Linked DNA regions of Caenorhabditis elegans. The protein of the gene in region 1 interacts with the protein of each later gene in a pairwise test. Each region holds a gene or a part of one and is shown in the gene's direction. Other genes may lie near its edges.

The links. The genes of interacting proteins can lie anywhere in the genome.
Region 2: the proteins of hrde-2 (region 1) and ect-2 interact in a two-hybrid assay, tested with the Caenorhabditis elegans proteins (one large-scale study listed by BioGRID).

What each region holds. Positions count from the first base shown.
Region 1 is NC_003283.11:15,003,376-15,006,900, forward strand, and holds hrde-2 (Protein hrde-2), read left to right. Parts: upstream 1-1,724; 5' UTR 1,725-1,743; coding exon 1,744-1,867; intron 1,868-1,912; coding exon 1,913-2,112; intron 2,113-2,161; coding exon 2,162-2,364; intron 2,365-2,417; coding exon 2,418-2,808; 3' UTR 2,809-3,025; downstream 3,026-3,525. Other genes in the region: mut-15 (MUTator), read left to right, coding at 1-433, 482-605, 651-756, 801-930, 984-1,254, 1,309-1,434; nmr-2 (PBPe domain-containing protein), read right to left, coding at 3,037-3,121, 3,171-3,292, 3,339-3,443, 3,491-3,525. UniProt on the Caenorhabditis elegans protein: Plays a role in germline RNA interference (RNAi), and in particular is required for piwi-interacting RNA (piRNA) gene silencing.
Region 2 is NC_003280.10:10,777,889-10,785,068, reverse strand, and holds ect-2 (Protein ECT2), read left to right. Parts: upstream 1-1,775; 5' UTR 1,776-1,803; coding exon 1,804-1,926; intron 1,927-1,989; coding exon 1,990-2,175; intron 2,176-2,221; coding exon 2,222-2,362; intron 2,363-2,414; coding exon 2,415-2,468; intron 2,469-2,580; coding exon 2,581-2,682; intron 2,683-2,734; coding exon 2,735-2,950; intron 2,951-3,023; coding exon 3,024-3,362; intron 3,363-3,744; coding exon 3,745-4,250; intron 4,251-4,305; coding exon 4,306-4,384; intron 4,385-4,432; coding exon 4,433-4,558; intron 4,559-4,608; coding exon 4,609-5,036; intron 5,037-5,084; coding exon 5,085-5,160; intron 5,161-5,254; coding exon 5,255-5,396; intron 5,397-5,458; coding exon 5,459-5,588; intron 5,589-5,976; coding exon 5,977-6,127; 3' UTR 6,128-6,680; downstream 6,681-7,180. Other genes in the region: mpz-1 (PDZ domain-containing protein), read left to right, coding at 6,943-6,995.

The sequences.
Region 1 (3,525 bases):
GCTCGAAATCTGTAATGAGAGGCCTACTCAACAAGAGAAGAAGTTCTAATTCCACTCGTCCAAATACACATATAACAAATCTAGACACAACTGAGCTGTCAAATGAATTCATGACATCGAATAGATCTAGAGTTTTCATTGGTTCATTCAAAAAAATCAAAGAGTATATCGATAAGCTGAAGAATGAAATGGAACAGTTGGATGATTTTATATCTGTTCTACGTTTTGTTATCATTAATAATGCCGAGAAGTTGAAGGGGAACAGTGAGTTTGCCGACTCACTCGGACGTCTCGCTCAAACTTTTGAAAGTTCTTTGACACGATTCATCTTCGCGTATCATTTCTCAAGTTCAGTTGCCTCGTTAACCGAAACACTCGAGTTTTGCAAAGGTAAAATGGAAAGACCTGTGCTCATTGAAGCTGATAATCCGAGGTTCGAGCAATATTCGCAAAATTTGTGCTATTCTTAGAATGTTTCCAGAGTTCGTGATGTATTTTCCAATATCGAATGCAAGTTGGTACGTCCTATCAGTGAAATTGCTAGTCTACTTCCGACCCAGGAGAGCACACTTGAGAATAATAATATAAGTCCCGCAATTGTCTCGGTAACTACTGAGTCTAAATTTTGAATTAATCTTTCATTCTTTCAGCAATATTTGACCGAATCAACACAAAAACTGAAGATACTAACCATGTTGATCAAAAAAGAAAGAGATGCAAGAGCGGCAGATAACGGTAGATCTGGACGGAGAGACAGTGAGTTGATATGAACTATAAACTCGGTATAAAATTTTTCTCAGAACCCCGCCGTGAACGCATTCTCGTCATAACACGAACGACGGAAACATGTATTCGTGTGATGATGTACCTGAGGCTGAAAATGCAAACTTTAGCTGTGAACCTTCGTTATAATATTCATAAAATTACAACGTATGTTCAATTCTAAATAGTGTCCTTTTTATTCCATATTTATTTTTTTGCAGATGCGACTCCGAAGAAGATGTGGAAAAACGAAACTTTGAGTTTCGCACGGGTAATCTCGATGTGCTTGTGATCGACTGGAGATCAATTCGCGCTGTTCACCGAGGCGCCGTCGACACTATCGTTATGTTTGATTCTCCGCATCCACTATATTTTCAAACAATTATGGAGACGGAGTTGCAGAACCTCGCTTCGATTATTGGAGTGAAACTGAAGTTATACATGATTATCGACCAGAATAAGGACTTTCGCCTCGTTCGCGAATATTTAAAGGTTCTTTTTCTTTCTCAAAATCGAAAGATTCAAACAATCATGATAATTTTTCAGTTTCTCGAATGCAACAAAACACGAGCGCCCACGTGGTTCCGCGATCTTTACCAAAAATACCTGGCGGATCGACAATCGAGAACAACTGCAGCTGTTGCAACTGCAACATCAGCTGTTCCTGTTTAAATATGTATTTTTCTTCCAACTTCTCAAAAATTATTTTCCCCATCTTTGTGCTGATTTATTTGTTTCTTTCCGTCCCATTCACACGATTCTTAATTTTACTGGTTTTAAACTTTTTGTATTTTGTTTTTTTTTGTAACATACAATGTTTTTTGAATTCGTGTTTCATATTTCTTGTTTTGAATCCTATGGTTACAGCTTCATTCAATTTATCTTTCAATATCTTATATGACCTATTTTAAATAATCATTTTTGATGATTTTTCGAATACTTTATTTATTTTGCAGTTTTACAGATTAATAGACGGGAAGTATGTCGCAGAACAGCGACACTTTTGATTCTGGACTCCAGATGGAAGTTCACAAGATGGCGGAAGCCGATAATTCGTCCGTTCAACAAAAATTCGATGCGATTCGCGATTATATTGGACGAAAAGGTATTTAAACCATTTTTTAAAATTAAAAATCTAGTTCTTTTCTAGAGACAACGATTATCCTCTGTGAGCACGACGATTCTCGCAAGATTAAGCTGACGCTGAACAAGCAGAGAATGGAATCGTCTATGTTTCTGACAGAAATGCCCGATGGTGGGATTCAAGAAAAGACAAAGTTCCATCGCAATGGACTCGCAGTTTGCAGCTACAATGCATTTGATGAAGTTGATTTGCCACTCGCGGACTCGGTATAACCTCTAAAAATCAGTAATTAGAAAGCAATCAACATATTTACAGTATATTTTCTACGGACTCCCGTCCAACGTGGAAGCTTTCCCGAGGATGCTCCATGGAATTGAAAAGTCGGCACACAAGGAAAACAAAATAGTTTTCATCGATATTGTCGTGTCGATTTTAGAGAAAATTCAAATTAAGGTCGTCAGCTTTGAACTTTACAATCGAAAGTGTACTGTGCCAACGTGGGTTGCTGAACTCGTCATGTAAGCTAAAAGAAAGATAATCGAGAAATTCACAATAAATCATTTGATTTCAGAACTTATTGTGCGCCAATTGAGGAACAGCAACAGCGTATTGAGGAAATCCGCCGAACTCGTGCTTCAGTTCCAGTTGCCATATCGGACGCAGCCAACGGATCTGCCGAGATGGTCCCTTCCAACACCACTGGATCTTCAGGATCGCCCATGTCGACCGCTCCAGTACCAGCCGCAAAGAAAGAGAAGGTCCAGTACGAAAGTATTCGTCAAATTCGCCCGAACGCCCAAGGAAGATACTTCGTTCCGGCAAGAATGATCAATATGGATATCGAAATGAGCAACGATGAGTACTCGCCGGATGAGAGCGAGAACGACGAGAATGAATATGACTACGAAAATGCTGCGCGTTACGATGATGGTTACGACGAAGGCCACGAATACTGCCAATAATTTCCCAAACCCAAAGCACATTTTATCCCCATTTTTACGGTTCCCCGCACTGGTTCTTATGTATTTCCTATTTATCTCAACTAGTTCCAAATAGTTTTAACTGCATTCCGGTATCATATAATTTACATGATTTTATGCAAAACTCGACGGTTTCCTCTTTTTTCGTGTATCTCGAATTCTAATTTATAATATTAATATCATGAAATGTTTTATCTGGAAATCACGAGCTCAAAGATTGGTTTCGACTTGCAAAAAACGGGGGCTTCTTCTTGGCGGGTTCAGATCTTGATTGAATGGTTCTTCAGTTGGTCTTCTGAAGTTGTTTCTTTTTGTTTTTAAATATGGAATTTCCTAACACTCACAAATTCGCAGATCGTCGTCGTTTTAATTGCGGAGAATTCGTACTCGCCAACGATTGTGTCCTCGACCTCCATTCTTGAACTCGATCAACAGCTTCCGTGAATGTCAAAGATTTTCCCATAGCCTGGAAATAAAGAAAAAATGATTTTTTAAATTAATAAATCACTTACCATACTGATAATTCCACACCAACCATTCGGATCAATCTTTTGTAGAGGCTTCCGAAGGTGCATGCAATAAATGTGCTCAAATCCAAGAACAATGACGCTGACGATCTGAAATTTTTAAGAACCAAATTTAAGGCTTATTTTCAAATGCTTACGATTCCACCGGCTAACAGCACAAATGCCGATAGAA
Region 2 (7,180 bases), on another chromosome or scaffold:
AGACAGAGGGGTTTGAACGTTCGCGCGCGCATAAAATGACTGGTATGGTACTAGCATCTCAAAGACAGACTAGGTGCAACAGCTGCCCATTTCCCGCCCAAAATGTTGGCACTGTGCCAAATCGCGATAGAGACTGTGCTTCCCGCAGAGTGTACAGATGGTGACAACGGTATGGGGTGACTAGGTGGTACTAAAGGGGGATGAAGAGAAAAGGAAGAAAAAGGAGGAAGAAATTGGCGCAACATTTCTAACGACTGGAGAGAGTGGTGACTAAAGAGTTCGAAATATATATTCTGGAAGATATGTTAATTAAATAAATAGATAAGGACCGCCGCAAATATGAAAAAAAAAACTTAATATTTATTAAAAATTCCCCGTCTTTGTCATGGATGATTGCAAAGGTTTGATTTAATTTTGGCTCCTAGTTAATTAATTTTCAAGATTAAAAAGTAGCTCGAAAAACTATTAAAATTACGAAAAAACTCTGCTACATTAACTGCATAATCTGTTGGCACACGTCTTCTCCTCCGAACAGATGTGTGCCATCACACGATTGTGACCCGCCCCCCCCCCCCCCCATAACCGTGTGCATTGTTAGATTCGCGCAACCTCTGATGACGTCATCGGCGCAGGTCGAGCTCTTAGCATTACTTTCTGTGTTTGGTTTATCTGTCGTTCACGAAGGGGAAGAGGTCATCAAGGTGGCGTGGGGTCTCAACAAAAATGAAGCGAACACACCACCTGTTCGGAATCCATAGAAATTATGAGAATAAAGAGACAAAGTTCGAAATTCGCAAAAATTCGATATTTAAGAATTTGGAGAACAGGAGTGAAACCGCGGAAAAATGTGAAAATCACAGTTAAATGTCGGAAAACTCGAGAAAATTGAGAAAAAGTTATAAAACAAAAGCTACTGTTTTGCAGAGTCTCCTTTGAATATTATTTAGAACAAGTTTCGTTTTTTTTCTCAGCTTGAAGCTCCTTATTTAATTTTCGACAGAAGCCTGAAGAATTTAGAAGTGAACTTTTTTTTCAAGTTTAAAACAATTATCTAGAGCACGGACATTTAATAAAAATAAAAATCCCTTGTGATCATCAAAAATCTATTTTCTGATTTTTAAAGCATACCGAACGGTGAGTTTTCACTCTTATGCCACTTTTTAGGGAATCAAGTTGAGAAAATATGTTTAATTTTTAAACTCATCAACTTTTAAAAAACAGGAAAAATACAATTTTGGGAATGAAAGAGAAATAAAAAAATTAGATAGAAAAACTGTTTCTAGTTTGAATCGGCTACCGTACCCTTTGCAATGAATCGCTGCAAGACCCTTGCCTTCTGAGCGAAAATGTTCCTTTAATGTTCACATTTTTGTTTCTTTTGGGATTTTTTATTTACGTTTTGTACAAATTCAGTCCATTTCAAAGCAATTTCTGAATGATTCATCAGTAATTTTGAATTGTTTGATTTTATAGATATCCTATTTATCAGCGCAATTAGAATTTCGTATTCAAATTAGTTTTCATTTATCAATTCAACTCAATCTTCAGTTTCATTTTTAAAAAATCGTTCTACTCGTTTAACGCCCATTTAATGCTAATTTTCTACACATATTCCCCCTTTCACAGCTAGCTGCGCATGCGCAAATCCGTGCATGTTTGCGTGAGTGTGTTCGCACCGAAACCGGCGCGAACAGCTGATTGTTTGAATCCAAAACCTGATTTTCGCAATGTTTTTCCAATTTCCCCTCATGAATCCCAATAAACATTTGATATTTCAGTGATAAAGCAAGATTGCGAGTTGAGATGGACGTCTCAATGTTGCAATCACCACAAAAACGAATAAAAACTATTCAAAAACTGGCTGTTTCGAAAAAAGATGTTCATGATTTTAAAGATATTTTCGAGATGCTTGAAGAGCAAAAAGAGGTTTGTTTTGAGTTATTAGAATTTCCGAATTAGCAAGATTAAATATTTAATGATAATTTACAGAAGCGAAATATAAATATTATTCAATACGACTCGTTGGATGACCTGAGTGGAGATTGGAGCGAGTACACATTCTTTTGTGGAAACTTTGATTCTGACCTCTTTCGAACACTAACAAAACATCAGGAAACGCAAGCACTCTTTATTATTGGGGCGTCCGTGTTGAAAAATAAGCTACTGAAAAATGAGGTAAACTCGGCGCAAGGTCTCATCCAGTTTCACTGAAAAATTGCAGGATTTGATGACGTTGCGAGCTGCCCGACCACTCTACTGCGAGCTTATGAAAGATGTAACAATGAAGTTAGCAGCAGAAGTACCAAATAAGCGAGAACTCGTTGACTTGGTTCATTATATGGGCGGTAGTGTGAGGAAAGATGTAAGTTACCTACGATCCTGAAAGCTATAAAAATACAATAATTGAATTTCAGACAGTATCACGAACAAATGTGTTCATCGCAGCGAAAGTTGAAGCCAAAGTTCAGGTGAGTGCTATATATTTCGGACTATTTCTTTGGAAAAGCCCTACATTTTTTCCAAATTTGTGGCTGCTATGACATTCAAGTATAAAACAATTGTATTCTCTCATTTTTTCAGTCAATTTCACTAGTCGGTGTGCCTACGATGCGAGCAGATTGGGTCACAGAATGCTGGAAACATCGTGATGACTCGTATTTTGATGTGATGGAACCATGTTTTGTAAAAAATTCTCTCTATAAAAGTCATTTTCTCATCGCTTGCCAATTTTCAGGTAGATAAGCATAGACTTGGCGTATTTGAAGGACTCAGCCTATTCTTCCACGGCTTCAAACAAACTGAGATAGATGACATGCTCAGAAGCTTGGAGAATACAGGTGGAAAACTTGCTCCGAGTCCCACGTTGGCTACTCATGTTGTGTATAATCCTGATAATGACGAAGTTGAGACATTAGCAGTGTCTTCTAATCAAGTTCACGTCACTAAAGAGGTAATTCAAAGGATTTAAAAATCAATTTTCAAAAAAAGAAAATTAAATTAAATATTCATTTCTCAATTTACAGTGGTTCTGGGTAAGCCTGCACCGTGGTTGCTGTGCTATAGAGGATAACTTTGCTCTTCCAACTGGCAAACTTCACAGAAAACCACTGGAAAGCAGTAGTGTCAGTAGCCCGATTGGAAAATCTCTTCGCTCCCAAAATTCGAGATCTTTGTCATCAATGCGTGACTGTAGTGTTGAAGGACCAACTTCGTTGAACATGACACCAGACTACATATACTCGAATGATGATGTGGAGAACTCGTGCAAATCGCCACGTCAACCATCGAAACGGCTCAGAGTTTGTATGGAGATGGTGGAGACGGAGAAGAACTACTTGTCACTGTTGAAGCTTGTTGTCAAGGTTGGATATTGACTTATCGCGAGGTGCAAGCGCGCTCCACGGCTAAACGAAATAGCTCCGCCCATTAACGTTGGGTCTCGTTAGGTTTTGGCAAGAAAAACAGAAGTTTCCAAGAACTTTTAGCGTTTTTGGTTGTGTCTTCTGTTGCTTCCATGATTTTTGTGTCGAAACTGAAACTATTCGTTTTTCAACTAAAACAATAGAAAACATTACAAAAAGTTTTTAAAAAATGCTTGTAAACATAACAACTTACCTCTTTTTTTTGGTGCCAATTCCTAACGATACCCAACGTTTGGGGGCGGATCGTTTTTCATTTTGCCTTGGAGCGCACTTGCACATTGATTTCAAAAGTCTCCATTTTCTGATATGAATATTTTTGCAGTTCAAAGAAGCTCTGGAATGTGAGATCTCACACAACGAGTTCATGTCAAGATCCGATGTCGCCATGATGTTTGGAAAGCTGGATCCGATTCTCGAACTTCACGAAAGGATTTTCGCCAGACTGACAGTAATGTCAAACGAAGCGAATACACTTTTGACGGTCGTAAATGGAAAAAAGAACGATGATAAGAATCTGGACTTTGCACAAGTGTGGATTGATGCAAAAGAAGAAATGAAGAAGGCATATCCTCAGTACATCAACTCTTATGACACAATCAAACGGTTATTCGATAAACAGGATCGAGAGAATTCTAAATTTCACACATTTTGCAAGGCAAAAGAGAGTAATCCAGAGTTTCATCGGCTCAAGTTGACGGATTTGATGGTGAAACCAGTGCAACGTCTTCCAAGTGTCATTCTTTTACTCAAAGAAATGGCAAAGAAATCCGATTCAAAGCTGAAGAACAATGCTGAAGAGGCCGCAAAAGCGATTGACGAAGTTTTGAAGTGTGTACTTTCAACATAATTAAATTTTATTTTTCTAAATTCATTTGTTTTTCAGAACCGCCAACAAAACTCGTGAAAAGAATGACAACTTCATTTCCCATCTGAGCAAGTTCACTGACATTGAAAATGTTCCAGTAAGCGCGGAAATTTGTTGAACAGATGTTAAAATAATTTTTTTACAGCCAATTTTGGTGGCTGCCAATCGAATGTTCATACGAGAGTTGGTCGTTTCTCCGATTGCAAGTACGTCGCCAGGTCTACAGCAGTTTGCGAAAATGAAATTATTTTTATTTCATGACGTGCTAATTGTAAGAGAGTCTTTAAATAATTATTTTGAATAATAATTCTGAAATTTCAGATCACGAAAATACGCAGCGAGAAGAATACAATGCAACGTCTAGCTCGTCACGCGTCGTTTGCCAGTTTACATTCGAGACAGCGTCGCCCCTACAGGTACATTGACCAGATACAGTTGAACACGATGCGTAGTGCATTCCGAATTCGTGCTCCCGACGAGATTGCGAAGTGTCTGGAGTTGCAGCAGCAGAACGGAAGCACAAAGCCAAATGTGTTTGTATGGTGCCTGATTCATCGTGACGAGCAAGGTGGTGACATTGACACAGTCTTCGAATCGAATGATGATGAAGAGGTTCGAGATTTTCTCGACGATATTCATGTGAAGATCTTGAGTGATTGTGGGAGATTCTTCTACTCGTCGGATCCATCAGATATGAATGAGATCAACGATGCGATGGTTTCGGATATGACAACTCGATACTTTAGAAAGTAGGCTTATTTCAGGTTTCAAGTCTTTAGAAAAAATCAAAATTTCAGTCTTTGCGGAGCGAAACCACAATATGGACACGGCAGTCAGATGAACATTACGGTCAGTGAACGATCTACACAAAACGTGAGAAATGAAGTTTGATACATGAGTGGAGAAATTAAAATTGTCCACAGTGTTACACCTAACTTGAATGCTTATATATAAACTTTTATTACAGGAATGGTCACACAATGAGTCGTTTATGCCACCACCACAGTCACAGAGTCGAATGCGACGAGCGTTCAGTAATGCTCAACTCACACTTGCCACCACGCTGGGCTTTGGCAGAAATCAGAGTCGAAATAACTTGGGACAAATTAGTGCGTTTTTAGAAAATTTATTTTTTTTTCTTCTGAAATTGTATTTGATTCACTAATTTCAGACGAGAACACGACATTTCTGCAGTCTCCCAGAGTTTCGTGTGATCCAGCAGCTCTCGCAAACATGACGTCAGTCGGCGGATTGCCTGGATGCCAAAGCGAATCTGAATCGACGCCAAAGCGAGGAATTCGGTACGTCAATGCACCCCACAGATTTATCGGAGACAACACGTTTTCGAGATCTGTCCGAAAAGTCAATTTGAAGATCTACGGTTTCAGGATGTGGCACCGTGTCAACTAGAAATACTCGTAGTTTTATCGAAGAAAAACTTAACAATGATGCTCCTTTGTTGTCACGTTTTTCTTCGAGAAAACCACGAAAATTTCTAATTGGCACGGTGCCAGATCCTGAAGCCGTAGATCTTCACATTGTAGATATTCTTTTAGTAGATCTTCTTTTAGTAGATCTTCTTTTCGGCCGGATCTTGAAGGCGTGTTGCCTCATTCATTGACCATATTTTCCCATGAGTTAATGCCAAATTGACACTCTACATCTAACATATCCTGTTAGTTATTTCAGTTCTCGCCTCACCTCGACAACGTTCCTCGGCGGCCGACACAACATACTCGGACGAAACACGTCGATGCGCCGTCAGGCTACCGGATTTGCTCATTCGGAAAAGGAACTACCTCGCTCAAAAACATCTTCATATCGTGTCACCGATATCTGAAACTCCCCGCACCCGTGTAACTGATAACTCGAATCTCTCCTCCGACTGATAAATAATTCGTTCTCACTCTTTTCCGAGCTTCATACCTCCAGATGCTCACCGGTGTATTTTGATGGTTTATTTCTTGCTTGCTCTCAGCTCCCTCCCTCTTACATTTTTCATGTTTTCACCCGTAGTTTTTCATTTCGTTTTTGTAATTACAACAACCGAAACTACCGTAATCACCATCCACAACTACGACCAGATCCTTTGTATCATACTGATTTACCATTTACCACAGGTGTATTTTTCCCCCCAAATCGTCATTATCATCTTCCTGTCCCCGAGGCTTGTGTGACCATTGCTCCTTGACTTTTATTATTTCCCCGAAATCACTTGTATGCCATTCTTATCCGATACCCCTTTCCCCTTTTATTCTCACCATTCATTTGAATGGTCATTCCCCCACAGTAACGTTACGATTACTTTTTTCTTTTTTTTTGAAAATTCAAATTTTATTCTTGTTAGAAAATGCGATAGGGGGTTCAAATGAAATTACACCCTACTTGTCTTTAAGTCTTTGAACTCTCTAAAAACAAAGAAACAAAGATGAGATTAGTGAGAAAAAGGAAACATGGGCGGAGCCTTATAGATGGCCCCTGGAGATTTCATATCTTGGAGCACATGCCGCTTGGCTTTTATTCATTCATTCCGAAACACGTCTTGGCCAGGATCCTGCATATTAGTATATTTTAAATTCAGATTTTTAAATTTTTTTTATCTTCTTAAAATTCGAGCTAATTAATTGTGATTCAGAATCTGGAATACATCATTGAATGATCGATGAGCCAGAGGATATAATAGCAGTTGAAGATGAAGCCGAAAGAAGGTAGGTCTGAAAAGAAAAAATGATTCGAAAGCGAGAAAAAAGATGTGCGTCTTTAATAAGTACAATAACCCGCAGATTCCCGTTATTTCGATAATTTCTCGGATTTTTCCACACATTCTTGCTAGAAAAATATTTTTTGTTCAGAAACAAAACTGAAACTTCTGGTAAAAGTGAATAAAATCGAA